Linked DNA regions of Elephas maximus indicus. The protein of the gene in region 1 binds, or shares a complex with, the protein of each later gene. Links are inferred from orthologs where the notes say so. Each region holds a gene or a part of one and is shown in the gene's direction. Other genes may lie near its edges. The genes, in order: FLNA, ITGB3, ITGA2B and FBLIM1.

Evidence for each region.
Region 2: the proteins of FLNA (region 1) and ITGB3 are in contact, whole or in part, in an NMR structure (PDB 2MTP), measured with the Homo sapiens proteins. The link is inferred for Elephas maximus indicus from reciprocal best matches to the Homo sapiens genes FLNA and ITGB3. Residues at the interface, in NP_001104026.1 of Homo sapiens: Gly2236, Arg2264, Ala2268, Gly2269, Gly2270, Leu2271, Ala2272, Ile2273, Ala2274, Val2275, Glu2276, Gly2277, Pro2278, Ser2279, Lys2280, Ala2281, Ile2283, Phe2285, Asp2287, Gly2291; in NP_000203.2 of Homo sapiens: Lys742, Ile745, Thr746, Pro771, Leu772, Tyr773, Lys774, Glu775, Ala776, Thr777, Ser778, Thr779, Ile783, Tyr785, Arg786, Gly787, Thr788.
Region 3: the proteins of FLNA (region 1) and ITGA2B are in contact, whole or in part, in an NMR structure (PDB 7SFT), measured with the Homo sapiens proteins. The link is inferred for Elephas maximus indicus from reciprocal best matches to the Homo sapiens genes FLNA and ITGA2B. Residues at the interface, in NP_001104026.1 of Homo sapiens: Thr2263, Gly2267, Ala2268, Gly2269, Gly2270, Leu2271, Ile2273, Ala2274, Val2275, Glu2276, Gly2277, Ser2279, Ile2283, Phe2285, Asp2287, Arg2288, Lys2289, Gly2291, Cys2293, Val2295; in NP_000410.2 of Homo sapiens: Trp1019, Lys1020, Val1021, Gly1022, Phe1023, Phe1024, Lys1025, Arg1026, Asn1027, Arg1028, Pro1029, Pro1030.
Region 4: the proteins of FLNA (region 1) and FBLIM1 are in contact, whole or in part, in a crystal structure (PDB 4P3W), measured with the Homo sapiens proteins. The link is inferred for Elephas maximus indicus from reciprocal best matches to the Homo sapiens genes FLNA and FBLIM1. Residues at the interface, in NP_001104026.1 of Homo sapiens: Met2207, Gly2208, Thr2263, Arg2264, Gly2267, Ala2268, Gly2269, Gly2270, Leu2271, Ala2272, Ile2273, Ala2274, Val2275, Glu2276, Gly2277, Pro2278, Ser2279, Lys2280, Ala2281, Ile2283, Phe2285, Cys2293, Glu2306, Phe2311; in NP_001337080.1 of Homo sapiens: Lys7, Arg8, Val9, Ala10, Ser11, Ser12, Val13, Phe14, Ile15, Thr16, Leu17, Ala18, Pro19, Pro20.

Annotation. Positions count from the first base shown.
Region 1 is NC_064846.1:2,091,858-2,098,852, reverse strand, and holds the start of FLNA (filamin-A), read left to right. Parts: upstream 1-3,981; 5' UTR 3,982-4,103; intron 4,104-6,995. UniProt on the Homo sapiens protein: Promotes orthogonal branching of actin filaments and links actin filaments to membrane glycoproteins. Anchors various transmembrane proteins to the actin cytoskeleton and serves as a scaffold for a wide range of cytoplasmic signaling proteins.
Region 2 is NC_064837.1:53,123,283-53,130,459, forward strand, and holds the start of ITGB3 (integrin beta-3), read left to right. Parts: upstream 1-4,175; 5' UTR 4,176-4,370; coding exon 4,371-4,449; intron 4,450-7,177. UniProt on the Homo sapiens protein: Integrin alpha-V/beta-3 (ITGAV:ITGB3) is a receptor for cytotactin, fibronectin, laminin, matrix metalloproteinase-2, osteopontin, osteomodulin, prothrombin, thrombospondin, vitronectin and von Willebrand factor.
Region 3 is NC_064837.1:50,890,011-50,897,711, reverse strand, and holds the start of ITGA2B (integrin alpha-IIb), read left to right. Parts: upstream 1-4,696; 5' UTR 4,697-4,706; coding exon 4,707-4,894; intron 4,895-6,532; coding exon 6,533-6,654; intron 6,655-6,745; coding exon 6,746-6,843; intron 6,844-6,966; coding exon 6,967-7,132; intron 7,133-7,412; coding exon 7,413-7,462; intron 7,463-7,538; coding exon 7,539-7,584; intron 7,585-7,689; coding exon 7,690-7,701. UniProt on the Homo sapiens protein: Integrin alpha-IIb/beta-3 is a receptor for fibronectin, fibrinogen, plasminogen, prothrombin, thrombospondin and vitronectin. It recognizes the sequence R-G-D in a wide array of ligands.
Region 4 is NC_064821.1:55,496,341-55,503,569, forward strand, and holds the start of FBLIM1 (filamin-binding LIM protein 1), read left to right. Parts: upstream 1-4,226; 5' UTR 4,227-4,295; intron 4,296-4,343; exon of another isoform or gene 4,344-4,419; intron 4,420-7,229. UniProt on the Homo sapiens protein: Serves as an anchoring site for cell-ECM adhesion proteins and filamin-containing actin filaments. Is implicated in cell shape modulation (spreading) and motility.

The DNA of each region.
Region 1 (6,995 bases):
TTGTTAGGTGCCGTCGAGTCGGTTCCGACCCATAGCGACCCTATTCACAACAGAACAAAACACTGCCTGGTCCTGCACCATCCTTAAAATCGTTGTTATGCTTGAGCTCATTGTTGCAGCCACTGTGTCAATCCACCTCGTTGAGGGTCTTCCTCTTTTCCGCTGACCCTGTACATTGCCAAGCATGATGTCTTTCTCCAGGGACTCATCCCTCCTGACATGTCCAAAGTATGTAAGACGCAGTCTCACCATCCTTGCCTCTGAGGACCATTTAGGCTGCACTTCTTCCAAGACAGATTTGTTCGTTCTTTTGGCAGTCCATGGTATATTCGATATTCTTCGCCAACACCACAATTCAAAGGCGTCAACTCTTCTTCAGTCTTCCTTATTCACTGTCCAGCTTTCACATGCAGGCACTGCAGGAGTGGCCAAAGGAGACAGAGGCCAGGGCAAACATGGGGGCTGAGCGGAGCAAACCAGGGCAGGCAGTGGATGTAAGGTGGAGTATGGCTAGGAGGAGGCAAGGCTTTGGTAGGAAAAGTGCTGTCTCTTGGAGAGCAGGAAAGAGGTGGTAGTCATGCTCAGACAAAGCCAGTCTCATGGAGTGTGGGGCTGCCTGGTGGGCTCTCCCTGGAGTGGATGAGAGGAGCTAGCCCCAAGTCTCATGTGGGGGGGAGAAGAAAAGAGAGGGGGCTCTGGTCAGCTGGTGCGGGCCGCAGACCAGCTCTCCAGGGAGGTTTGCTCAGGGTGGGGAAGAGGTATACACGTGGGGAGTGGCCAGAGGAGAGACCATGGTTTGACCAAAGACAAAGACCCTTCCGAAGAGTTGCTGTTGCCCAAGTTTTAGAATCAAGGTGGGGCCCTGCTCTGTCTCAACTGTGACAAGTAGCATTGGAGTCCCTGAAGACACTACATTGCCCTATACAGAGGGGAGAGCCATGGGCTGGGCAGGGGAGGAGGTGGCCGTTTGGGCTGTGAGCTGGGCAAAGGCAGCCTCGTGGAATCTTGAGTTTTGGCAAGATCAGATCCCAGCCCCTCTCAGCCTTTCTGCAATGCTGGCCCCTCTCCCAGAGATGCTGGTTCTGGCTTCCCTTACAGCCTGCTCAGTCTTCCCCCGTGCCACCCCTCCCCATACTGATGCAAGCTGTTTCCTTATGAGGTCAAGGAATTCTAGGTTTGCCTTCTCCCCAGGGAACACCACCCCCTTGCACCTGCCTCAGCACTCTGCCTCCTATGTCCCCCCCCCTTTTGTCCTCACTATGAGGTCCCGCCACAGAGGGCACCAGGAAGCTGAACTGTGGATGGTCACCCATGGCCGTGCAGCTCCATCCCAGACCACCAGACACTAGGTCAGGCCTTGACCATCCGAGCTAGGATGCCCTCTGCACCTCCATCACATAGAGTGGGGTCCGGAACCTCGAGTCCAATAGTTCATTCATGAAACATTTCTTCAGCCAGCATCTGGTGCTCCACGGCCCAGCCTCAGAGCTCTCAAGGAGGGAAAACTGTTCCCAGGAGCTGGTCCTGGGAAGGACAGGCAAAGGAGACACTGGAACTGAGCCTTGAAAAAGACAAATTTCTCTGGTGGACAATTGGAAAAGGGATTGCAGACAGAGGTCACAAAAAGCAGCCAGTGCAGCGGGGGTAATGGGCTGTGGAAGCCGCGATTCTAAGGCAAGAATAAGAAAAATGAGTCTCTCCTTTAAGGATGGAGAATGGCTTCTAAACAGTGGATTGTACAACTTGGAATCCCAGCAAGATCAGAAGTTAAAATGGAGAAAAATATATCACCATAAATACATTTCTCAGCATCCATGTACAAGCAAACCATTGATCACTGAGCTACTAAGTTTCTCTTTAAGATAAGGATTTTTTTTTAGTGCTAAAAGACACTTTTCTCTTCAAGGGTATTAAAGCTCCTTTGGGTTTTAACTAGTTTTCAAATGTTTTGAAACATTGCTCCAATGGTTACAAAAGTTGCGAGACAATTGATATGTTGAACACTGTCACAACCAATATTAAAACACTGGTTAGTTGACTAAAGGTCTCTCAAGGAAAGTGTTGTGTTCCAACCTTGGAACAGGTCAGTTTATCTTGGTACTGTTGGGATGACTGGTGGGAGGAATGCAGCTGACTTTGGTAGTTTCCCTGTATCTTCAACCGAAGGACACCTGGTGCTGTACAAACATTTATTCCGCCCAGACCTGAAAGAAGAGACAGAGCTGCTGCATGTGTTTTGTGTGTGTGGTGGGGGAGAGGGGCAGTAGTTGATTTCACACGGAGGTGGCAGTCCCGAACACTGCTAAGAAACCACTGCCTCCTTAGTGCTCCCTCCACCTATTGTACCCCTGGCTTGGAGCGCAGCTGCAGAAAGGCATGTGGTTTCCCTCCTTGATGAACCACGGACCGCCTTGGCTGTGAGCCCCAGCACAGCCCCCTCCTCGGTCTGTGAGTTCCCATCTCCAAGTCCAGGTCCCTCACCTATCATGTGAAGATAACCCACTGCCCTCCCCAGCTGGGGGCGCTCCCACCAGAGGGGGCAGGAGGAGAGGGAACCCCTGGCACTGTTAGAAAGCACCCAGTAAGGGTCAAGGTGTGAAAGGTCTTTGAAAGCAGAGCTAGCCAAGACAGCAAGACCAGTAGGGCCATCAGTGCCTCTTTATCAGTGCTTCCCAAACTGTAAATCAGCAACTTAATTCAGCAGGTGGTGCCTGAACTATTTCGTTCCTTACACCCTCCCTCCCTGTTGTCCGTTTCTTCCCCTCTTCCTGCCATCCTTTTTTCCTTCTATCCTCCCTTCCTTCTTTCCTTCTATCCTTCCTTTCCTCCTTCCCCATTTTCTCCCTTCCTTCCTATCTTTCCCCTTTCCTTCCTCCCCTCCTTCCTTCCTCACTTCTTTCCCTCCTTCCCCCTTCCTCCCTTTTTTCTTTCCGACCTTCCTCCTTCCTTCCCCATTTCTCCCTTCCTTCCTTCCTCCCTCCCTTCTTTTCTCCCTTCCTCCCTTCCTTTCTCCTTTTCTGAGGAAGTAGAGTAGAATAGAAAATATCAGAGTGCTTTGTAGGTAGTAAGGGAAACTCTCGTTTTGCAAGTCATTTTGTTTCATTCAGTTTGTGTGTGTGTGTGCGCACATACATTGGCTAAGGATGTAAAATGTGGTTCTTACTGCAGTTTGTGGGCAAACATGTTAAAAAATACTGTTTTACGTGACCTTCCCCAAGGAAGTGACATTTGATTTACATCTGAAGCTATCAGGCAAGCACAGGCACACAGAACAGGAAGGAGCATGGCTATGCCAGGGTGTGGCTGTGCCCACTCTGATCACAGACAGGCTGCTCATTCCCAGGCTTGGGGACTGCATCTAATCAGGTGGGATGGGCCGGGGGAAGTCTTCAGAATCCAATATGCTTCAGCTGCCCACTCCAGGCCACGCCTGGCACCCAGCGGGGTCAGATTCATAAGGCTCATCCTGGCCTCAGAGTCACTCTAGTCCAGCCCCACTGGAGCCTTGCAGGTAGTAGGTGCTCAGTGAACACCTGCACCTGCCTGTTGCCCCCCTCCCCATCCACCAGGGCAGCGGAAACCGACTTGCTTTGCCAGCCCAGGGTTGGGGCAGAGGCAGGCCTCATGCAGGGGGCCATGGCTCTGGGGGACTTCCTGGACGAGGTGGCCTCAGAGCTGGGCCTTTTCCGGTGGGGAGTGCTTGGCCCCCCCAAGCTCAGCAAGCCGGTGTGGTCCCTGCCGACCCTGCGGGAGCTCGGGACGTCCCCCCACGCCCGTGCTGGCGGCCCTCGCCGGGTGGTGAGCTCATCCCGGGGGGCGGTGTCGCCAGTGCGGCCCAGGCGCTCGAGCTCGCCGCTCACCCCCGCCCCCGATTCCTGGGCGATTTTTACCAATTAAGGCTTTCTCGCCCGGCCGGGCCGGGCCGTGCGCGGGGCGGGCGCGGGGCGGGGGTGAGGCCAACAAGAAGGCGGGCGGCAGCGGGCCATTCGCGTGGAAGCGCGCGGCGCACAGCGGACGCCAGCGGAGCCAGGAGGTGCCGGGCACGGGCGCGAAAACGAGCCAGGCGCCACCCCGCGGTCGCCGGCCGCCCGCTGGGACAGCAGGTAAGATCTTGGAGGCCGGGCTCCGCGCGGACAGGCGCCGCGCTGCACCGGGGCGAGGGTGGCAAGGCGGGCGGAGAAGCTTAGAGAACGCAGGCGCCAGCACGCGCCCAGGCCCGGACCAGGTGGAGCTGGGGTGCGTCAGCAGGACACCAGGAGTGGTGCCCGGGAGCAGCTTCCCCGAGTTTACCCACCAGCCGGTGTGTGCGTCAGGAGTCTGGGAGCCCAAGGCCATGGGAGTCCCTGAACGTTTGGTAGGAGATGGGTGCAGGCGTGGGTGTCCATGAGACTGCTGCTTCAAGGCTGTCTGAGAAGGAAGGACCCAGAGGGTAGGACCCTGTGTGGGTTGAGGGTGAGTGGACACCTGGAAGGACACCTTGTAGCTAGTGTGCCTGCTGGGAGGGCACGAGTCCACAGGGCACCAGCTGCCAGGGCATGGGAAGCTGGTTCCTGGGCTTTTGCGCTCTGTGGCTCTATGGAGCTGTGGTGGGGTGTGGCCAGGCACCGCCAGGCCAGATTCACTGGCTGGGCTCATCCCAGGTTGGCTTTGAGTTGGATGTTCCCTGCCAGCCAGGATGTGAGTAGCTCTGGCCCCAGATTCCCATGCCACTGGGGCCAGGAGAAGTGGGTGAAGTCAGCTGACTGTCCCGTTTGTATGTGGTGCTTTGGGTGGCACAACCAAGGTGGGCACAGAGAAGGGTGCTCAGGAAATGGGCGCCTTCCCCTGCCTCACCTAGACTCGCTGTGCCAGCCCAGGCCTCTTTTCATTGTGCCAGTTGGCTGTTCCTCTCCCTCCCAGTGCTCCCTGGCTACACAGGCCTAGAACCAGCTGGCTCCATAGGCGTCCCAGCTGAACAGCCTCTGCACTAGGGGCTATAGCTGGAGAGCCAGGCCTGGGGTCTGAGGGCCAGGGTTGGGGTGGGGGCTGGGTGTGCCTAACATCCAAGAATCTACTCCAAATAAGGGAAAATATGAAAGAGCTGGATTTTGGCTTCCCCAGACTGCCCGATCTGGGGGCTTTGAGATGGAGCGCCATCTGGTGGTGATACTCTGTCTTCTGGGTGCAAGGACCCTCTACACTCCCACCCCTCCCTCTCTCCAAATAGGGAAAGCCTAGGGCTGGAAGCCAGGACATCCAACTTATGTCCCCTTGTTTGCTGAAGCTGACCACTGGATAGTTGCTCTGACTCAGTTTCCCTGCCCTCTGTTTGAAGGTTAAGGAATGAACACAGATGGTCCCTTTGGATGGCACTTAGTGGACACAGAATCAATTCTTGATTGCCATCCCTGGAGCCTGTTTTCCAGTTGGAAGCAGGGGAGGGGGAAGATGACCAGAAGAACGACTCTAAACCCGTGGCCTGGCAGGGAGGGGTTCATCTGGGTGCCCCTTTACAGCTTTCCCTCCCTCCTACACCCCAGCCCTCAGACACGGTGGATGGGAAATTTTCTACAGGTGTCTGAGAGTGTTCAGGAGAGGGGCAGAGCATTTGAGGGTGGACCTCAGTACTGGAAAATGCCATCTGGACCCCCTGCCACCACCGTTGGTGGAGAAAACTCAGTGGGGTGACAGACAACCGGAAAGAGATATGCTGGGAGGCTGAAGAGATGCTGGCTGGAGATCCCAGCCCCACTGCAGGTCACGCAGACACCCAGGGCCAAGTAAGAATCAACCATATTTGGGCATGACTTGTTGGAGGACCCAGGCCTCCTTCTCCCACTGGTCTTAGCAGAGAAAGGAATTACTACTAGCCTGTGCCTCCATCGAAGAATCGAGCAGTAGGGCCATAGACATGCCTTTCCGGAAAAAAATACATAAGAGAAGGGGATGTGTTGTGATTGCACAGGATGCCCTGGGCTTTGCCGGTCCCTGTCTTCCCAGGGCCTCCCCACAGTCTCCAGAGTTATCAGCCAGAAAAGAACTCCCCACTGCCCTTGGGCCATAGTCCCAGCACCTCGGCAGGCCCTCCTCAGCCCCCACATTTGCCCTGGCTTCCCTCTCCTTTGGCCACCCCTGCAGTGCCACACTGCCCAAAGCCGCTCACACCCCAGTGCTTACAGCCTGCCAAGTCTTCTTTGAGGCTCCCCTCCCCCAGCAGGCCCCTCTGGTTCTGGAAGGCTACCCCCATCCCTCCTGGGGGGCACTCAGCTCAGGGGTCATTCCACCAGGAGAGCAAACCTCCCCCTCCTCCCCATCTGGTCCCCCAGGTGGGTGGTGTGGTGCGGTGGGCTGGCTCACTGTCCCCACTCGCATCACGCCTTGTCCTTTGCCAGCGCTCATTGGCACTCCTGGCCCCTTACAGGGTTGGCTGGGAACTCCTGGAGCGCCTGCCACTGCCCTCCTGGCCCAATGCCCCATTTCCTCCTCGGGCGGGCAGGAAGGCAGGCAGAGGGCCGTGGGCAGCGGGCAGCACAGGTGCAGAGGCCAGGGGCCGGCAGACTCGCCAGGCCAGCGGGGACAGGGGCCTGGGAGGTGGCTGGCCTGTGGGCTGGGCCGCCGACCAGCCGTGACTCCCTCGTGTTCTCCACGCAGAGGGCTTGAAGAGAGCCTGGCCCCAGCTCCCCCCGCCCCGCCCCGGCTCCGGCAGATGCTGCTGGAGTGTCTGCTGGGCAGACTAGGCCTTTTACTGGGCACCCAGGCCTTAAGCCTGGGAGCAGGTTACCCCATAAGCAAGGTACGCACAGGTTTACTTGTGCTTACTTACTAATCCGTGGTGCAGAATTTCACTTGTTTTTCGCATATTGTGAAATTGTGCACTACAGTTTAGTAAGTAAACACAATTAAGCCCGTGCTTACCTTGCTTACTGGTTAATCCGCCTCTGCCGCGGAGGGGTGCAGAGACCCGGGGAGGCAGGGACCCGGGCGGGGAACCCAGGTGCCTAAGCCCCACGTGACTG
Region 2 (7,177 bases), on another chromosome or scaffold:
ACAAATAACAATAATAATGAGAACATATTCCTCTGTGTTTTTCCAATTCCAAAAAGCTTTCATATGATATAGCAATATAAAATGTTAACATTAGGGGAACCTGTGTGGAGGGTAAAAGGGAACTCTCTTTACTATTTTGTAACTTTTCTATAAGATTATTTCAAAATTAGAAGTTAAAGAAAAAAAAAAAAGCCAGAGGGAAAAGACAGTAAACAAGAATATAAATGATGACTTTCTCAAAAACAATGGATGCCAGAAAACAGTGGAATAACATCTTTAAACTACTGAAAGAAAAAAACCTTGTCAACCTAGAAATTGATATCTAAGAAATATCATAAAAAATGCGGGTGAAACAAATGAAAGCTGAGCATACTCGTTGCCAGTAGACCTTCATTATAAGAATTGTTAAAGGAAGTTCTTTAGGCAGAAGGGAAATGATACCAGATAGAAACTTGGAACTGCAGCCACAGAAATAGTAAATATGTGTGGGTAAATTTATTATCACCTTATTCAACTTCTTTAAGAGGCAACTGTTTAAAGCAAAAATAAAATTTTATATTGCAGGGTTTACAATGCATTTAGTAGTAATATGTCTGACAATGACAGCATAGAGGGTAGTGTTTTGTCAGTGCAATTATTCTGTTGTAAGGTTCTTACATTTTACATGAAGTGGTAAAATACTAATTCTAAAAAGAGTATGTATGATATATTAAGGACGCATATTTAATTCCTAGAGAAACCACACACACACACACACATAGCACACACCACAAAGAAGTATAGCTAAAATGCCAGTTCCAAAAAAACCCCAAACCCACTGCCGTTGAGTAGATTCTCACTCATAGCAACCCCACAGGACACAGTAGAACTGCCCCATAGGGTTTTCAAGGCTATAATCTTTACAAAAGCAGAGTGCCACATCGTTCTCCCACTGAGAAGCTGGTGGATTCAAACTGCCGGCCTTTGGGTTAGCGGCTGAGCACTTAACCACTGCATCACCAGGATGCCATTATCAATTATTATACTAAATGTAAATGGACTAGCCCCTTTCCCATCCTTAAGGCTGGGAGTTCAGCAGGAACTCCTGACTCCTGGTACCTGTGAATGTGACCTTGTTTAGAGACAGGATATTTGAAGATGTTATCAGTTAACACATGGTCATACTGAATGGGGTGCATCCTATAAAAGAGGAGAAGAAACACAGAGGCATATAGAGGGAAGGCAGCAAAGTGACAGTGGAGTTATGCTGCAGCTGCAAGCAAAGGAAAGCCTGCAGCTACCAGAAGCTGGAAGAGACAAGGAAGGATTTCCCTTAGAGCCTTTAGGGAGATCATGGTACAGTTGTCACCCTGGTCTCAGACTCATAGCCTTCAGGGACTGTGAGAAAATAAATTGTTCTTAGAAGCCACCCTATTTGTCGTACTTTGCTATGGCAACCCTAGGAAACTAATACAGTTGCTGAGGCTGGGAACAGAGTAGAGAACTTGCTGGCACATTTGCTAGGGCCTGGTGGCACAGTGGTTAAGAGCTGCACCTTAACCACTATATTAATATACAAATAGAGAAAGAAATATAGATGAGTGTGTGTGTGTGTATGTGTGTGTTCCCATCTCCCCCCAGCTCTGTCTACTAAGAGGCTCTATAATCAGTGACACCCTTTATAGCCGTCGACAGATGAATAATGAACCCCAATCCAAAATTTGGTTCAAACAACAAGGCTAATGACTCCATACCAAGAGGCTATCTACACAAAGGTTTAATACTCACATAATGAGGCTTTCTGGAAGACAGCATGGTGATTCCCAAGGAGGTCTGAAAATGGCTTGAGAGAGCAAGGAAAGGAAACAAGCTTGGGGTTTTTATGGTGGTTAGAGGTTGGGACTAGGCTGAGGGTTTCCTCATGTGGTTTGATGTCTGTCAGTGCCAAAGAAGGGGGCATTTGGGCTTTCATTTCATCTTGTCAAGGTGTGAGGCAGATGGGGAGGAGAGAGAGGTGAGGCTTAAAAGATGCTAGCAGTCAAACATCAAAAAATGGTGTCTGATTCTTTATTACACATCCCAATAGCAACAAACTCATATCTGGTTTCTAAATACTGCTGCCCACTAAAAGAAACCAGGGTTCAGCAAATAAACTGCTGATGCCAAGGCTAGGGTAGGGAAAGTGCAAGATGAGCGTAGAACATCTTACTGTGCCAGAAAGTAAGAAAGTGCTCAACAAATAATGGGGGCACGTCGGCAAGAAAAAGGAATTATTTGTTGAAATGGAAGATATTTTATTACATATGGGTCTGGGTATATATCACAATAACAACAAAAAGGGAATGAATCACTGACATATACAACAACCTGGTGAACCTCAAAACCATTTTGTTGAGCAAATGAAACCAGATGCAAAAGAGTACATAATGTATGATTCCATTTTATATGTGGTTCAAGAAAAACCAAAATTAATTTATGGTGATGGAAATCGGAACTGGAGTGGTTGCCTATGGGGGGGGGAGGGTGGAGATTGACTAGGACTCAAGGGAACTTTCTGGGGTGATAAAATTTTCTGTAGCGAGATACTACTTCACATCTCTTGTGCCTCTCACTGTATGTAAAATTTACTTCAATTTAAAATAAATAAATAGCAAATTACAATACAAACTGCTAGGCAGAGAGGTAACCAGGACGCTGACCTGAATTTTGCTTCAGGGCAATGACATTTTCAAGGATGTAAAGTGTCAAAAGTGATTTAAAAAGATTTGCACATTGTTAAGCCTTCTCCAGACGCTGCAAGCTATCTCTAACCCTCACACTCCCAGCACTGTTGAAATGACTTCCAGTCTAGAGGCCCTCAGCAGCTTGGGGTGGTAGATGCAGCTGGAGTCTCAAAGCCCAGGTCAGGGAGCCCAGCTACCTGGGCCTCTATTCCCTCCCAAACGGTTAGTGACACTTTTGTTATGTGTGCTACTATTAATGTGTATCCTAGTGCTGAGAGGTCTGAGGAGATGGTGCAGCTGGTGCTGGAGAAGGGGGGAGGTCAGGCAAGATTACAAGGAAGAGATGACATCTGAGATGTCTTGAAACATAGATGGAATTTTCTAGGTGGAAGAAGGACGGAAGACCAGTGAGAAAGGATGGGATCTGGGAATAAGTACGTTCTGGAGCTTCTGTGGGAGATAAGGCTGGATAAGTGAGTCAGGGCCAGTTGTCAAGAGATCTTGTGTGTCTAGGGAGAGGGCAGGGAGCCTGAGAGGCCTTAGGAAAGCCCAGGAGCTGGAGAGACTTTCTGTCCCTCTCTGATTGGCCGCTCAGGGCTTGTTTTTAAACCATTTCAGCGGCTTGCCCCGCCCCCAGCCACTCCCTGGGCGCCATAGCCCTAGGGGTGCCTTTCTAAGCCTCCAAAGATTTTCTTTCTGGGGAAGACCCAGGGGACTAGAGGAAGGATCCTACGGAGTAGTGGACAGGAGGCCTGTGAGGAATATACAAGGACGCCCTCAAACCTGTAAGTTTGAGTTTGGAGGCAGTGCACTGGCTGTGTCCTGAAACGGTAATCAGGTATCTACTATGTGCAATATTTACAATATTTGTGCAGAGAGGCCCTTTTTGGACACATCACTGCTTACACAAGCTTGAGGTGTGGTCTTGTCCTCAAGAAGCTTACAGTCTAAAGAAACAAAACTAATCCAAGAAGACTTTCAGCCCGTTGCCCTCCAGGCGATTCTGACTCATAGCGACCCTCTTAGGACACAGCAGAACTGCCTCATAGGTAATCTTTACGGAAGCAGTTGAAAGGCTGCTGGGTTCAACCCCGTACCTTTCAGTTAGCAGCCCAGCGTTTAACCACCGTGCTACCAGGGCGCCACTAAGAAAACGTTAGTAGATAATAAAGGACTAAACTGGTACGCCGCACAGAGTAGATGTTCAACAGATGTTTGCCACTTAAATGAATGAAAGAAACTCCTGGTACCGATGGAAAGTACCGCAGGAGTAAGACGAAAGAGAAATCCTGTGCGTGTCTCTGGAGGATCAGGAAAAGGCCCGCAGGCGCCCCGCCTTCCTGAGTGTGCCAAGTGCCAGGGGGCCGACCCTTGGACCAGGAGGTTCTCCCACGACCCTTTCTGGCTCGGCATCCGCTTGCCGGCGGGTAGGCGGATCCTCGTGGGCGGAGGCGAGCGGCAAGACAGGAGCCGCGGTTTCCCACACCCCTTCTCCCGCGCAGGGTCCAGAAAAAGGCCGGCGGGAGGAAACGCGAAGCCACGTCCCGCCCCGTCGTCCCACCCACCGCGTCCCCTCCCCCTGGGCTGCGGGAAAAGCGGCCGTGGGCACCGCTGCTCGCTGTGGGGTGGCGGGCGCGGTCGAGGCGGAGCGCGTGGCCAGCGGACGAGATGCGAGCGCGGCGGCGGGCCCGGGCGCTCTGGGCCGCTCTGCTGGCGCTGGGGGCGCTGGCGGGCGTCGGCGTCGGAGGTGAGTGAGGCTCGGCGCCCGCCGCAGGGACAAGCTCTCCACGGGGCTGCGCCCCGCTCCGCCGCAGCCGAGTCTGCAGACCTGGAGCCGGGAGACTCAGGCGGGCCGGGCCCGCGTTGCTGCTCTCGGAGTGCCCGGGCCCCGGCTGGGGCCATCAGAGTCCAGAGCTGGGGACCTTACTGTACCCTCGGTGGCAGGGGTGACAGGCGACCGGTGCCAGGGGGCGGGCCTGGACCCCGGAGCCGGTGGCCAGGTTGGTCGCCTCGCTGGGGCGGCCTCGGCGCGCGCGGTGCGGTGGGCGCAGCTCCGAGCCAGCCCGGTGCTGAGCGCTGGCTGCGAGCATCCCGGGTGGTCCCAGCTGTGCGAGGGAAGACCCGCCCGGCCCGGGAGCCGGGGCGACGTGGGCTGTCTGGGGCTGTCCCGCGCGTTGGCAGGGGGATGTGCTTGTAGCTTCTCGAGTTAGCGTGTACCCGCGCGTTCCCCAGTTATTTGACATTCTTTTCTCCCTGTGCCACACTTCCAAGTTTTTCTAACTTGGTGGCTCCCCGCGGGAGCGTTTCGGAGCAGGATAAGGGCGCTGCCCCCTACAGTGACCCTGGCAGCGCCTCTGCTTCAGTGACAGACCCCGGACCAGAAAAATCTTTAGGGTATGCGGGGAGTCATAGCAAGGGTCCCTGGGGCTGGTTTGGATCCCAGGCTTTGTCTCTCCTGCTGCTGCGCGAATCATCAGCTTCCAGGGCAGTCGACGTTTGGTCGCATTGCCAGGGAGGGTGGTGAAGGGGCAGTGAGGCACAGCCCTGGGGTGCTGCCCTTGGTCCTTCCGGAACCCTGGTGATCTTCCCGGGAGAGCTCTTGCTCTGGAATCTCTGGGATCAAGCCTTCCTCAGAGGACGCACGAGTGTGCATACATATACTTTTAAAAAAAATTTTACTGTACTTTTTTTTTTAGATGAAGGTTTACAGAACAAACTAGTTTCTCATTAGTTAGTACACATATTGTTTTATGACATTGGTTAACAACCCCACAGCATGTCAACACTCTCCCTTCTCCACCTTGGGTTCCCTATTACCAGCTTTCCTGTCCCCTCTGGCCTCCCAGTCCTAGCCCCTGGGCTGGTGTGCCCCTTTAGTCTTATTTTGTTTTATGGGTCTGTCTAATCTTTGGCTGAAGGGTGAACCTCAAGAGTGACTTCGTTACTGAGCTAAAAGGGTGTCCAGGGGCCATATCTCTAGGGGTTTCCCAGTCTCTGTCAGGCCTGTAAGTCTGGTCTTTTTTTCATACATATACTTTTAATGAAAACGGTAATACTCACTGTAAAACAATTTAGACCAAGTAGAAGGGATTAAAAAAAAAGAATCGATAAGTCCATTTCAAAGATAACTAATTTAAAATACTTTGGCGAATGCCTTCCAGACTCCTCTATGTATGTATAGACAATATATGTAAAAAGATCATACTGAACAGGGTGACAATATTTTAATGGAATAGTTGATGTATAAAAAAAAACCCCCAAAACCCGCTGCTGTCGACTCATAGCAACCCTATAGGACAGAGTAGAATTGCCCCGTAGGATTCACACGGAGGGCATGGTGGAGTTGAACTGCTGACCTTTTGGTTAGCAGCCAAGCTCTTAACCACTGATGTATAGGGGGCTGCTTAGGTTGTCATTACTGAAACTTCCCAGGTGATAGAGACTAACACAGGTCCAGCCATCTTCAGCCTGTAGTGAATAGCCTGATGACTGTCACAGAAATATGAATCCTCAGCATTCTGCCCTGGAGATGTTAGCACGTTGGGTTAGATGCTGCTGCTGTTGATGGGAATGGAGAAATCTATGAGGGCAACTCAGCTGTTTCCTACTGCTTCCATGAACTTAAAACATTTTTTGCTTTCATTTCCTTTGTTTTTTACATCCACAACATTCTAAATTCACTTTTGTGTATAATCATTATACTTTCCTAACAGTTTAAGAAGTAACGAGATAACATAAGATAGTGCCCAGCATGGTGCTTAGCTCAATGTTGGTGAAGATATGTTATTTTGCTGTCTCCCCCAAGCTCCCATCCCCAGTATATCGTGTAGATGTGGTTTACACAGTTGTAATGGCCCATTACAATTCCACTGCATTGACATACCTAAGTTTGGTTGGCAGTTCCTTACATGAGAGGTCCTTCAGGAGATGTGTTCACTGATTTGTTGGTGTGACTGGGGTGATTCTCAGCAGCGGTGGTGGACTGTGTTAAGCTAGCCCCAGACTCTCTCTGAAAGGCAGGGTAGTGTTTAAGAGCAGGGGCTCTAGAGTCAGACCCCTGAGTAAAAGACCCTGCAGTAAAAGCAGTTTCTATTATATTTACATTCCCCATCCCAGTGTTAGGAGCGCTGATGGTGCACCAGTTAAGAGCTCTACTGCTAAATGGAAGGTAGACAGTTCAAGGTTGGTGTCTTGAACCATCTCAACTGCTCTGGCACAGAAAGACCTGCTCGCATAAAGATTACCTTACAGAAAACTCTATGGGGCAGTTCTGCTCTGTCACTATGAATCATCATCGACTTGATGGCACTCAACAACAACCCCAGTGTTGGGGGTAGGGTTGCAGGTCCCTGGGAAGAAACTGGTGGGGTGAGAGTAGGAGAGCTATGTTGGGGACATACAGTGTTGAAAGGATACAGAAGAGGGCTGGGGGGGAGTGGCATAGAAAGGCTGTTCTAGAGCAGGAGAGTCTGGTG
Region 3 (7,701 bases), on another chromosome or scaffold:
CCTTTCCCTCAGGCTATCAGCCCTAATTAACACACTGAACCAAAGGTGCTTGCATTGCAGGTCCCATTCCTTTGGTGTAGTTAGTTCCTTCTTTGGCATTTCCCTAACCATTCCTGAGGCTACAATTGATTGAGTGGTCACCTGAGAGGAAAACCAAACCCTGCTTATCTGGGCCAAGGCTCGGTGTTCCTGGCTTTCCTCTCGAATTCCCAAAAGAAGTAGCGTTTTGAGTTTGAGAAGTAAGTGCTGGGCAAAGGAGGTTCTTGATTGTCCCCTACCTGTTAAGTGCTCATCATCTGACTCAGAAGCATTATTTTTTGGATGACTAGCATTAGAAAAAATGAAATGGTCTGTTTCAAGTGACAGGACTCATTTTTCTTTGTTTTCAGCCCATGTAAATATTTAAATAATACAGTATTAACATTTCCGTGCTGCTTCCCTTCAGCTTGTAGATCGAGCCATGTTCTGGCCTCTCTGCCTTCCTGGAGGCAGTTTTCTTTAACTTCCAGAATAGTGGTTTTAAAACTTAAAAAAAAGAAGGAAAAACAAAATGACCTTACTTACAAGCGTAACAGACTGTATTTAACTTTATCACATATGATAGAGATATATATGCTGTAAAATGAGGGAAAGAACTTTCTAATAAACCAATGATTTGTGGAAACTTAGCAGAGTCTGTCGTGATCGTTCCCTGTTCACTCAAGTTGGGAAAAGATGGAGTTGTGGATTGTAAGTAACATCCTGTTTAAAGTGACCAAGCAGTAGACTCTTGTGAACCAGTTGTTTGTGATATTTGAAACTGTGCCTCTCAAAGCTTGGACTGCCCACTTCAAAGGCAAAAGATGGCTGTGGGCAGAAGTAATAGGAGTTGTGTTTCTCTCAGTGTTAGGTAAGTGTCTCTTTCTGCTCCCTCTTTCCCCGTAAGAACTTCTGTTTCTTCCCTTTTTCTTAAATATATAATCTATGTATGGCATGTAGGTGCTCATTAAATGGATTTGGAATTTCTGGCTTTGATTTTTAGGATTTTGGATGGACTTAAGGCCAGTGGGATTACAAGATTGATCTACCTAGTCTTTGCCCTCCAGGTGGAGTTCTGTATACCAGGCTTGGCTTCCTCTCCTCAGCCCTTTAATGTCACTGCAGTCAATACTTGAGAGCCTCTGCTTAGTATAAGGAAATACATCCCAACTGTTACTGAGCCGATAAAAGCTCCTACTTTTCTGTATCAAAAATCACAAGAGGCAGGGAAGTTTAGCGTGGAAAACTAACCACAGATTTGTCGTAATAGTTTCCCCTCTCCTTAACCTTTCAGGAAAGAAGACTGGTGTTCATTTCTTTCCTAGTGTCTTTGATAAAGCTATGCTCTGTCCACCAAGGAGAAGCTCTTAAAACCCTGGGTTGGGTGCTCAGATCTGACTGTTTCCTAAAATGGCAAAGATCCCTGCCCAGAAGGAATGGATGTTAGAAAATATAAAAAGTGAGTTTCTGAGAGCGGGCAAGCGTCCTTGTTCTGATAAGGGTTCCACTTCCCTCCCAGCCACCTGAGCTTGAATCGTGAAATTACTCCATCTTCTGTACCCCCCATGACTAATTCAGGCGTAGTCAACCACTTCCGTTCTTATTTGCAAGAGATACTCTTATTAACTCATGTTGGAATTACTGCAGCATCTTCCGGGCTGGCCTCCCTGACTCTAGGAACTAATAGCCTGCCCCATGTAAGTTTACTCGCTTTTTAGAATCTGAGTTCAATTAATTTTGTATTCACTGCTTCTGGTAAAATTGTAAACTCTGAGAGGACAGAAACTGATTGTTACACTTCCTTTTTCTTATCCCTTAGGATGTCTTACGTAGAATTGAGCACATGTAAACATTTTGATTGTATGTTCAAGAAGACAGGAGTAAAGTAAGATACCACAAACCATGGATCATGCACGAGGATTCAGTAAGGGAACATTTGAAGATAAGAGATTTTTCTCGAGCCTCCACATCACCTGGCTCAGAGCCAGGCACATAGAAGCTCAGTAATTTGTTGACTAAAATAAAACCTTAGTAGAATTCAAATTCAGTGAGGGATTCTTGGACTCAGTCTGATGGGATGAGAAAGTGGGACCAACGTGTCAGCACTTCTCTGCCAACTATCAGAAGGGAGATCAACCCAGCTCTGACTCCATAAAAATACCCGTAAGAACTAAACAACTCTCCCTACCCAAATCTGATCACCGTCTGTATTTTCAACTCTAGTTAATGATGCCACTGTCTGGCCAGACACCAAAGCTAGTAGCTACCTTGGATCCCTCCCTACACATCCAGTTACTGATTCTGTCATCACTTTTGTTCCTGCCATTAGTACTCGGGCTCAGACCTCATCACCTTTAACCCAGAGGATTGCAGTCACTGTCCATCTGGTCTTCCCACTAAATCCTTTTCTTGCCATAGGCAGCCAGTTTAATCTTCCAGATCAAAGCACAATTGATCAATGTATCCCATCCCCTGGCTTTAAAAATCTTAGTGATTTTCCATCTCGTATGGGTTAAAGTTCATTTTCCTTAATATGGCATTGAAGAACCTCCAGTGGTTTGATCCCAGCTTTCCGTCTCACCCTCGTGCAAATTCACCCCTTTGAGCACCCTATGCTGAGTTAACTAGTACTTGCTTTTCCCTATAAGTGGCTTTTGTTGTTCTGCTGTTCTTTTATGTTATTCCTCTGCGTAGAAACTCCTTCATTCTCAGACAAAAGGCAACGTAGTATAATGGTTAAGAACATGGACTCAAGTGCAAACTTGTGTTTGAATCCTAGTTAGTGGCACCTATTAGCTGTGTAACTTGGGCAATTTACCTAAAACTATGCACAGTTACGTGTGTTCATGTCTTAACTCCCTCTGCACTAAGTTTTTTAAGGATCTTTGATAATGATCTCTGTATCACTCAGTGCCTTGAACAGAACAAGTACTTATTGAAAGTTGTAGTGGACTATGAATTAATAAGGAGCTCTGGTAGCACAATGTTCAAGCTCTCTACTGCTAACCAAAATGTTGGCAGCTCAAACCCACCAGCCGCTCTGCAGGAAAAAAGACCTGGCAATCTGCTCCCATAAAAATTACAGTCTATGAGGCAGTTCTACTCTGTCCTATAGGTTCACTATGAGTCAGAATTGACTAGACCACACACAACAGCAACGTGAGTTAATAGCAGCTCAGTTGAGGACAGTTGGGAGGGTGAGTAGAGGACTGGGTTAAGGATTCATTCTAACAAATGTATTGCAGGCCTGCCAGGAGCTTGGCACTGGAAGTCAGCAGTGAAGAAAGCCCAGATTAAAGTTGAAGGAGCGTTTAACCTAGCTAGGGATAGGATTTTGAGCTGTGTGCTGAGATGGTGAAGTATGAGGGGAGCTGAAAGGATTCCAGAATGGCACAGGGTAGTTGGGCAGTTTGATCAGAAGGCAAGTATGGATGAAGAGAAGAATGTGGCTATGTTGCCTTTACATCTAGACTTCTTGAATCTCCTTGAGAACAGCTTTTTTGGGAAGGCATGCAGTGCCAGTTAGACTTAGCACTCCTGTCCTCTTCCCCGTATCCACAGAAGATGACCTTGCCTTTTTGCTCAAAACTCTTTCTTCTTTTCCCACTGTGTGACCCTGTGTTTGCATCTTTATCTTTTTGTGCATATTTCTGCTCAGTCTTTCTTTTAGTCATGCATACTACATATTAGGCCCTGGGACTGCAGAAAGGAACCATGCTTTGAATTCACAGACAAAATCCAGTGAACAGACCATGATTATATAGTGTGGTCAGTGTTAGCTCTGGGTGCCAGCCCGAGGAGTTGGAGGAAACTTCCCCCAGGCGATGATCCCAGCAAAATCAAGTCTTAATGGTTAGACAAGAACTTTGTCACCCAAAAAGGAGCGAGAGCCTGCCTTCAACTGAATAGCTTGTACATAATCTCAGAGCCTGTGAACCAGAATGCCCTGGAATAATTTCAAATTGTACCCATTTCCTTGTCCCTTAGGCCAAGGTCCATTCACTGTCCCCCCTCCCAACACTGGCTGCACTGCTCTGGCAGCACTGAGACTTGGCCCAACATGGACAAGGAGTGAGGAAGCTGCTGCCTCAGTATGGCTGGCTGAGGCTGTCCAAAGCCCTAGAAGGAAGAAGTGATTAAGTACCTTATCCAAAAGGATACAGCAGCCTGAGGTCTTATCAGGAGGCAGCAGCTTCCTTCTTCCCCCACTTTTGGCCAAGTCAATGCGCCATAGCAGCGCAGCCAGCTTGCGGGGGGTGGGGGGCAGGGCGAGGCCAGGCGGGAAGGTTGTAGAACTGTGGGCTATAGTGGAGGCGTACAGACCAGTTAATTCATGATTGTACTATCCCAATAAAAAGTAATGGTGACTTGCACTAGAGTGGTGGTAGTGGAGATGGAGAGAAGATTCAAGAGAAATAATTGAGAGGTAGAACCACCAGGAGTTGGTGATAAACTGTTCCCAGGGAAAGAGAGGAGTCATTCCTCTCAGCCCTAAGCCTCACCCCTTTCCTGGCAATCCTGGAGAACACATGGATGTGTGCAGGGGCTGTATAGCCCTTTGCTCTATCCACTGCTCAGCAAGTTGCTTTGGGCCCCAGCTTGATAAGAAATGACTTCCTGTGGTGGAAACTGAAGGAAAGAGGAAGAAGCTGGCCCATTTCTGCCTAGGAGATTGTGGGAGAAGGAAGATGGCCAGAGCTTTGTGTCCACTGCATGCCCTCTGGCTCCTGGGGTGGGCACAGCTGCTCTTAGGACCCGATGGTACCCCTCCAACCTGGGCCTTGAACCTGGACCTGATGCGGCTCACTGTCTACACAGGCCCCAATGGTAGCCACTTTGGGTTTTCACTGGACTTCTACAAGGACAGCAAAGGAAGGTGAGCCTTGTGGGAAGTTTGGGGGTTGGGAGAGAGAAGGAACCCCAACCTGTCACTGCTTCTGTGAGCCCATTTCTGATGGAGGTTGAGCAAGACGATTTATAGGGTCTATAGGGTCTCTATGGTCGGAACCCACTGAACAGCACTGGGTTTTGGTTTGTGGCTCAGGCTGAAGTCTGGTTAGAAATAGTGGGCAGGGACCAGCTCAGGTGAGAGTGTCAGGGAGAGGACACCAGGGAGGAGATAGGCACTAAAACTACAGCAAGAACAAAGGGAAGACAAAAGTTGATTTATTTTTTTTCTCAAGGGTCAGTTGTAAGACCCACTCCACTTTCCTCCCCTCAAAATACAGAGAGGTGCACGTCTTAAGTTGACTTGCAAAACTGTAAAATAGTCTGCTCCCACCTTGCAATTCTACTCCATTTCCCTTACCAAATATGCATATTTGAAAAGAAGCAATAGAGCATTAATGGTTGGGATTGATTAGGCCATGAAATCAGACTGCCGAATTCCCCCCTATTAATAGCTGTGTTACCCTAAGCTACCTAGGTAGTGTGGTGGACACTGTGATGTCCAGCTTCAGGAAGTAGCAAGGGCAGACAGGCTTCAAATGTCAGCCCTTTGTGAGATTTCCTCTGCTGAAAAGAACCACCTTGCCCAAAGTCAAAACCTTTCCCAAGGTGGCCCACTTCCACTGACTGACAACTCGTGTGTGTGTGTGTGTGTGTGTGTGTGTGTGTGTGTGAGATAAGGGTCTGACTGTGATAATTTTGAAGGGTCTTTCTAGCTCCACGGCATGGAGGGGAGGGAAGGAGAGTTGGCCCAAGTCTTTCTTTGGACCTGCGTATGAGTTCCACTTCTGCCCACTCCTTTCACCTCCTTTCTACAGGTATTGGTTTCATGGGTACTTCGGAAAAAAAAACCCTGAATGCGTTTTAAAAAAAAAAAAAGCATTTTGTATATTGAGCATTACTATGTATTTGGTTGGTACCATGCCAAATGTCCCTCACACATTTACTCCTCATGACAACAGTGATTGGCTGGTATTGTCCTCATTTTACATAGGAAAGGTTAAATGACTTTGGACAAAGACAGTAAATGGCAGAGCTGTGATTTGAACCTAGATCTGCTAGGGTTCTCAGCTCTATCAGCAACCTTCCCCCACCCCCGCCCCCCACCCCCAGGCGCCCTCTGGCTTTCTTCATTCTTCACCATTAAAATCAATTCTCAGAAAGGGATCTGGTAAGGAATAGTCTTCAAACGAACATTGTAGGGAGCATCTGAACCCCTGGCTTTTGGTGGGACGGAAAGGGAGAGGGGATGGAGGTAGTGTGCAGAGCTTGGGAGGTCTTTTTCATGAGGAATAGCAAAACCCTCGTGTCCAAATCAAACCAAATGGTTATAGTGCCAGCTTTAACCTCAGTTCGCTGTATTGCTTTAGGAAAGTGATTTCCTCCCAGAGTCAGTTTCACTGTCCATAAGGTGAAGATGCTGGCCTCGACGGTCTGTGAGGTCTTGTTGAGGAAAGCTGGTCCAGGCCCCCACGGCACACCGTCCTCTGGGCAGTGCTTCCAGCGTGGGCACTGGGCATGGGCCACGCGGGAATGCGTGCAGCGCTCACCCAGCTCTCCTTCGCAGCGTGGCCATCGTGGTGGGCGCCCCTCGGGCCTTGGGTCCTAGACGAGAGGAAACTGGCGGTGTGTTCCTGTGCCCCTGGAAGGCCGAGGGTGGCCAGTGCACCTCGCTGTCCTTCCACCTCAGTGAGTCCGGAGCCAGGAGGGACGGAGGAGGGGCCAGAGGGGGCGTGGACAGCCGGGCTTCAGCGCCCCCACACCTTCTTCTGTTCTCCAGCGGATGACAACCAAAACGTAGGCTACCAAACCCTCCAAACCTTCAAGGCCGGGCAAGGACTGGGCGCGTCGGTCGTCAGCTGGAGAGACAACGTTGTGGTGTGGCCGCGGGATAGGGGATAGGGAGCAGGCGGGGCCGGGGATACGTCTGGTGGGAGGAGTGAGGTGGGGCCTCAGTCCCAGCCCCGCGCCCTTCCTTACTCCTCTGTGGCCCTGCCCCAGGCCTGTGCTCCCTGGCAGCATTGGAATGTGCTAGAAAAGACCGAGGAGGCCGAGAAGACGCCTGTAGGTAGCTGCTGGGTGGCTCATCTCCAGAGCGGCAGCCGGGCGGAGTACTCGCCCTGCCGGGCCCGCACCATGAGCAAGATTTACGAACAAAATCGTTTTAGTAAGCTCCGCCCCTGCTTTGGCCCCGCCCACTAGCTGCCCAGCGCTCTAACAAAATCGGGTCGCTTTGAGTCGGAATCGACCCGACGGTTTTTTTTCTTTAGTCTAGTCCCTCCCCCAGCGCGCCAAAACTCTGCTTTCAGTCTGGTTTTGCCCTTTCAAGGTCACGCCTCTATATTACTCCTGGCCCCGCCCCATGGCCCCGCCCCCGCCGGGCCCAGGCTCGGATCCACGCTTCTCGATCCGCCCCTTCACTGACCCCACCTCCTTGCGCCCTCTAGTGCTGGACAGACGCTACTGCGAAGTGGGCTTCAGCTCAGTGGTCACCCAGGCGAGTACCGAGCGTGAGAGGCGTGGGGGCGGCCCAGGAACAGGGCACCCTCTCACCTCCAGGGCTTCCCTTTTAGGCTGGGGAGCTGGTGCTTGGGGCCCCCGGTGGCTATTATTTCTTAGGTATGTCCCTCATCCCATCTGTACATCTCCCGCCTTTCTCCCAGCTTCCCCACCTAAGGGAGACCCCAGACATCTGGGCCCCCACACCCTCCCCCTCCGTCTTAGGGCTCCTGGTCC
Region 4 (7,229 bases), on another chromosome or scaffold:
CTGTAATGTTCCGAAACCTCTATCCTCTATGTGGTGGGAAAAAGGAAGGAGTTCATTTCTGGACACCTACTAAGCACTAGGCATTTTTATCCACATTTATCCCATCAAGTCCTTATAACAAAGCCACAAAGGAGGTACTGCTACCCACAGGTTGCAAGAGGAAGCTGAGGCTCAAAGAGAAGTGACTTGCCCAAGGTAACAGGCCAGCAGAGTGGAACCCCTCACAGACACTGATGTTACTCATATCTGTGACTGTCCCCCACCCCTGCGCCTGTGCGATGACCTCTCACTTCTCTGTACTGCTGCACCCCTGCCAGCCCCTACCATGAGACCTGACACACACTAGGAACTTGGGAAATAGGTGTTCAACTGACCTGACTCCAAGCAGGCAGACTGGAGGATGAACGAAGGACGGGGGGGAGCCCCTGGGAGGGGAGGCCCGGGGTCTTCGGAGGCTGTTTGCCAAGGGTGGACACCCCACTCTGCAGTGTAACCTCATGCAGCTGCGCAGCCGGCACCCCCAGGCTGGCGCAGGGTAGCTCTGCTCTGACCTGGCCAGAGGGGAGCCTGCCAAGGGGAGGGGCAGCTAGGCAGATGCTTCCCTCCAGGTCCCTCACGGGGGCTGCAGCTCAGGGAGCCTGGGAGAAAAATTGCATGACCACAGGCTAGCGGACACCTTCACCCGGATCTCCCCAGGCTAGTCTTGATTCTTGGAGAGGAGAGTGCGGACTGTGTGAGCAGAGAGCTCTGGAAACCAGGAGAGAGTGATGCGAGAATAACAACTGCTTCAATTTGTGGGCACTAACTATTTTTTAACTATAGGCCAGGCCCCTTCAGTGCCTTTGTCCCTAACAGTCCTGCAGATGGAATCTTCATGTCCCCATTCGAGGGCATCCAGTCCAGCTCCCCTACTTTACAGGTGAAGAAACAGAGCCTTGGAGGGGGAGTCTTGTCCAAGGTCACACAGACAGCACCAGAGAGCTGGGCATTAAGCCTAAGTCTGACCCCAAAGCCCAGATTTTCCCCATTGCTCCTTCTCCCTGGAACGTTTGCCTCTGTTCTTCTCATCCACCCCCGTCTGTCAGTTTATTGTATTGTCGTGGTGCCTTGCATGTTGCTGTGATGCCAAAAGCTATGCTACCAGTATTTCGAATCCCAGGAGGGTCATCCATGGAGGACAGATTTTAGTGGCACTTCCAGTCTAAGAAAGAGTAGGAAGAAAGGCCTGGCAATGAGCCTATGAATTACAACAGAATATTGCCTGAAAAAAAAAAAAATTTTTTTTTATAGCACTGGAATAAGGTTAGAAGGAACTCAAAATACACGGTGGCTATAACAGCGGACTCGAGCAATCATGAGGGTGGCACAGGACTGGGCAATATTTTGTTCTGTTGTACATAGGGTTGCCATGAGTCGAAGCCAACTTGATGGCAACTAACAACATTCCTCTCATGCCTGGCTCTTCCTCATCTCAGCTTAAACGTCATCTCCTCAGAGAGGCCTTCCCTGAGCAGCCCCTCACCCCTTATTCTGTCTCAGCCTCTTCTGTTCCTTCATAGCACGTTTTACTCTTGGTAGTTAGTGGTATTAACTTGCTTTGCATGTCCGTCTCCTCCACCCCCTGCAAGTATGGTGAGGACAGGACTTGACCCCCACTGGCTCCTCAACTTGTGTCCAGCACATAATAGGTACCTGACCAATGTTTGTTGAGTCAGCACCAACCACCCTCTGTGGGCAAGCGGTGCCCTCCTCCCCAGCAGTCTTGGGGAGAAAAAAATCCCACTGCCCTCGATCTTGTCCCCAAACCTCTCCCCTACCCCGTTCCTGCCACCTGGGGTCTCACCTGCCACAACCCTAATAGAGGACTGGCCCCCCTGGCCCACCAGGCCATCTGAGGGAGAAGAAAGCTGGTCTGAGCCTGGCAGGGAGGGAGGCAGGGAGCAGGACTCTGAGCTGGCAGACAAAGGGCGTGTGTTCTCGCCCAGCCCACTTCCTGGGTTTCCATTGCAGGAACCTTGGCACCTGCCGATCAGTGACACCAACACCCAACACCCGAGCTGGTACAGGAGACCCTTGGCAGGACGCTCCTCTCCACCCAGGAGCAGCAGGGGAGGTGGGATAGGCAGCCGGGGGCAGGACGGCAGGAGAGTGGTGGCGTCTGGGCCCCTGCAGCACCCTGAGACCCTCTCAAGCCAAGCTCAGTCTGGATGTTGGGAGGCCTGCATTCTAGACTGTGTGACCTTGGATAAGGCCCCCAGAAAACCAACCTTTCTGTGCCTCCGTGTCCCCACCTGGGGTGCAGTGAGGTAGCTCAGGGGATACTGTCGGGGTGAAAGATGGCAGCTCCATTTTTATCTGTTTGAAATAAGTTTTCTGGGTCAAATCACTGGAAAAGGGGGTTCTATGGCCAAAAGTGTCTGAAAACCCCTGGATGGTGCCCTTCCCCCTGAAGGCCTTTTCAGCTCTGGCACTGAGTGGCTCCCTCCTTTTTCCTGTGGAGGGCATACGAAGCTCACTCCAAAGAGTGCTGCTAAGTGGGCGCACAGTTGCCACTCTAAGGGACTGAGCCCAAGCAGCCTGAAGTCCGTGTCTCACTCTGCGGGTAGAACTCTAGTCCCGTCTCCAAACCTCTGTAAAGGGTGGCAGTCCTGCCCAGCCCTAGGGCTAGCACAGCAGTGATACCCACTGGTCTGAGGTTGAATCCTGCTCCGCCACTAGCCCTTCGTGTGGCCTTGAGTCTCTCAGGGCCTCAGTGTCCTCATTTGTGACTCAGGACTGATCAGTTCTCCCGCACAAGGCTCTCATGGGGATTCAGTGTAAAAGAGGCACTGTAGGTGACCCACCAGCACAGAAGAAGCCCTATACATGACAGCTACTATTACTGCTGTTTGGAAACCCTGGGTGGCCTAAACAGTTAAGCCCTTAACTACCAGTCCAAAGGCTGGCAGTTTGAACCCACTCAGAGGCGCCTCAGGAGACATGCCCCACAATTTGCTTCCGAAAGGTCACACAGCCTTGAAAACTCTATGTAGCAGTTCTACTCTGAACACAAGGGGTCGCCATGAGTAGAAATCGAGTCTGTGGCAAGTAGCAACAATTACTGCTGTTGTTATTGGGCAGCGGCTGTGAAGATCAAATGAAAAAAGGGGATGAGAAGGGGAACAACGGAGGGGGTCACAAGCAGTGGGTGAGGGATCTAGGAAGGTAAAGGAAGAGAGCATGGGATAGGGTGTCTAGGTACCCGTCTTAGCCCCCAGGAGTGAGTCCCTCAGAGCAGCCCCAGAGCTATCCTGGGGGTGCTGACTGTCCCTGCAGAGCCCGCAGGGGAAAGCCAGCCCTGCCTGGCCTCCCCACAGATGGCTTCAGCCACTGTGGCTTTAATCAAAGGAACAATCTGCCTCTGAATCAGACCCAGATTCCTTTTCCCAGCAATGTTCCTGAGGCCTCTGGGGACCCAGGCGGCCCATCCCAGCTCCATCTCTGGCCCCTCCCCTCTCCATGTCTTATCTACTCCAGCCTGGAGGGGGACAAATTCAGGGGGCAGGAGGGAGGACATCAGTGACAGGCCCAGGCGTGGCAAACCAGGTGACCTGATTGCCAGCTGAGCCCTGTCTCCCAGGCCCGCGGCGCTGGGTGAGGCGTCCCTCCTGGAGAGGCCTGTCCCTCAGGCCACTGGGGCCCACATGTAAAAGGCTTAAGGGGCACAGGACAGCAAACCAAGGTGACTTGCTCCACTGGGGATCTCAGAGACCCCCCCGCAGCCCCCCCCAACACCCCTGAAAAAGCCCAAAGCCCAACATACATCACTCCTTGCTGTCTATATCACCTTTTACCCTCAGGCCTACCTGGAGAGGCAGGCTGTTATCTCCATTTTACAGATGAGGAAACTGAGGCTCAGGGAGGTAGAGTGACTGCCAGCGTCACACCGTTAGTGGGAAGCCATACAACCCAGATCCTCCTGACCCTCCTGACCCTGGGAAACCCCAGCCCAAACCAGGGATATAAGCACCCACCTCCATCTGACAGAACAGGTCGGGCCGCGATCCAGGTGACCTGGGGGAGGGGAGAGTGGAGTAACAACCCCTCAGGGTCCACAAAGGACTTGGGGGGTTGGCCACAGGGAAGGTCTCCTGCCCCCCAGGCCTGGGCCGAGGGGGAAGGGAGGAGTGGTGGAGGGAACAAAGGGAGGGGGAGGGGGGAGGGGGAGGGGGCGGTGCGGGCGCGGCCGGGCAGGTGGGGGCCGCTTCCGCCCGGCGGGGATCCCAGACCCCCTCCCCACAGCGTCACCTTTTATGGTAAGGCGGCGGCGCGGGGCGGGGGGCGGAGGGAGCGAGGGGCGGGGAGGCGGCGGGGCGGGAGTGCGGCGGCTGGTTTCGCCGGCTGGGGCGTCGGAGCAGAGCCCCGGGCGCGGCGGCCCAGGTAAGCGGGTGGGGGGGGGATCCGTCCTCCGTCCCGTCCCTGCCCCGCCACACACAGGTGACAGCGCGGGCAGCCCTTGGCAGGAGCCCACCTCCCCTCCAGCCGGGACCCCAGCCCCGGCGCTCCAGGAGGGGGCCTTCCGTCTCTGCCCTTCGGTCTCTGTCCCCGGAGTGGGGGAGGGGGGCGCAGGTTTGGGGGAGGGCTCACGGCGGGGAGGGTCGTGTCCCTGCCCAGGAGCCGGCGCCAGGAAAGGGGCGCGCAGGGCGGAAGCTCCCGCACAAAGAGCCAGCGTCCCGCACATGGATCGAATTAAAGTCCCTGGCCGGCGCCCCACAGCGACCCGGCCAGCCGCCCTGCCCCGCCGCCTGCGGGAGGCCGCCGGGCTTTCTGGAGCTCCAAGGACTCCGGGCCCCTCTTCCCAGCTGGGGTCAGGCGAAGGGGGGAAGGGGCCCAGGGCAGCCCCTCTCGGGCCTCGGATCCCCGTCGGGGGCTGGGGAGACGAGGGATTGGGCGGCCCCTAAGGTGTGTCCCCTTGGGGTGATCTTCACTTCGATCCTCCCGCATCCCAAATCTGAGGACCCCAGGAAGAGGCTGGGGCAGCGGCTACATTCCTGCTCTTAATAATGGTGGAAACCAGGTCCCAGTTCTCTGGGACCTCCAGCAGAGCCCAGAAACCCTCCACCCCGCCCCAGGCCCTTGAGGTCTGAATAACCAGCTGTCCTCCTTCGCACCTACCAAGCACCAATATCTCGATCACTCACTCCATTTATCCTCTTAGCCACTATTCAAGACAGACCCCTTTATTCTCATTTTATGAAAAAAAAAACAAGGACCAGAGAGGGCCAGTGACCTGCTCAGGGTCACCGAGCAAGAAAGAGGTGGGCACAGTGTGAACCCAGCTCTGAGTGCTTCTCTGGGGTGGGAGAGAGGGAACAGGAACCCCTAACCAGGGCTATAGGCTCCAAATGGGGGGGGGCACAGTCCCACCCCCACCCCCAGCAAAGTTTAATTCAGGACCCAAACACAGGCTACTTTGTGAGGGTGCTAAAGAACAAAGCTTAGAGGTGGTTCTGGGCGCTGGGAGGAAGGCGGACAGCAGAGGGAGGGGGCTCTGCCTGAAGCGCCCCCCTACCAGCCAGTCTGTCCTCGGCCCCGGGGCTGTAGGCTGGGTGGCTGGCTGGATCACAGCCTCCTTCCTTCCTCTTAACAGGAAATGACTCTCCCTCCCTTTGTTCCCACTTTCTTTGCTTACCCAACTGGGTCTTAGATTCACCTTCAGGGAGAGGAAGGTTAGGGATGGAGGATCCCCTGGGCCCTGCTGGCTGGGAGGCTGCCCCACAGGGAACTTACTCCCTCTAGGGTGATCAGGGAGGCAGTGGGCCAAAAGGAAGCTGGGCCTCCCATCCCCTCCTGGGGCCTTACAGGGCTTTGAAAAGCCCCACCCAGCTCAGGCCCTTCCCTTGGGGCCTGGAGTCCCAGCAGTAACCACTAGAAGGGAGGGGGCAGGGGGCTGCCCAGCTGTGCACATCTGGCTCCAGGACTGGAACATTTACCCCCGGAGTCTTCCAAGAAAGCAGGCGACTCAACTTCCCAGAGCGGGTGGGCTGGGGGATAGGGGTCAGAGCAGGGCGAGAAGGACGTGAAAGGGCATCCTGAAGGTCCCCAGCAGTCTCTGGAGACAGCCCAGAATGTGCTCACCACAGGATTTTTGCTCTGGTTTGGATCATTCTGGGGCGAGAACAGGCTGAGAATTTGGGGGCCCTAGCGACGCAGACGGCAGTGGGTTAGTGACATTCAGGGAAGAAAAAGCATGTCTGAGGAAGACGTAGTGTGTCTCCGCGGTCATTCCCTGGACCCTGTGGTCGGATGGTGCTCTGTTAGAATTCCGGGTCTGCCATCGATGGCTGGGACCAATGACTTAATGTCTTGGGGCTTACACTGTAAAATAGCTGTGTTGGGAATTAGGTGAGCTTTGAGGCATGTAAAGCACTCAGCACAGTGCCTGGCACACAGCAAGTATTCTTATCAGTGAGTGCCATTGTTGTTTTTATTATTGTAATCTTGTAGTCACCAAAGAGAGCCCACGAGGGCTGGTGAACTTTGAAAGAGGCCCATGACTGGCAGTTGGACTCCAGGTCCACCATTAGGGTCCTTTGGGGCCATGTCAGGGTGGCATAGCCCGAAAGGGGGAGGTAGAAAAAGGGCATAGTGTTATCCCAGGGCACAAGCCTTGGGTGCCTGGGGAAGCTCCTAAGCTGGTGTGACTGACTCACCCCATCCCAAGGCTCGGCCTTGGTCGCACACTACTGTCTGCAGAAACCACCTGAGAGATGGCAAATGGCCTTCCCCTGACCCTCACTGTGAGCCACCCTGCCCCCACATCTATGATTTGGTGCCTGCATTGTGAGCTGGACTCTGCAGACACAGCTGAAGGCACACACTGTCAGGGGGAGAGGGCAGACACGTGGAGAGTGAGCCAGCATGTCGTGTGACAGGGCTGTCATCACCCTGTGGAGGCAGACAACTGACCTCCCTGGGGAGGTCAGGGATCAGGGGAGCCTTCATGGAGGAGGTGATAAGCTCCTGGGCCTCTAAGGATTAGCCGAAAATTCACCCTGTGGGAGTGGGAAAGGGAAAACAGGTGGCAGAAACACTCAAAGGTAAGTAAGGGAGAAAGGCACCATCGAGGAAGAGTGAGTGGTCTAGGGTGGTCAAAAAGAGGCTGAGGCCAGAGGAATTCGGGCTTTATTCTGATGGTAGTAGGGAGCAATGGAAGGCTTTTGGGTAGAGGTGAAACAGACAGATTTATG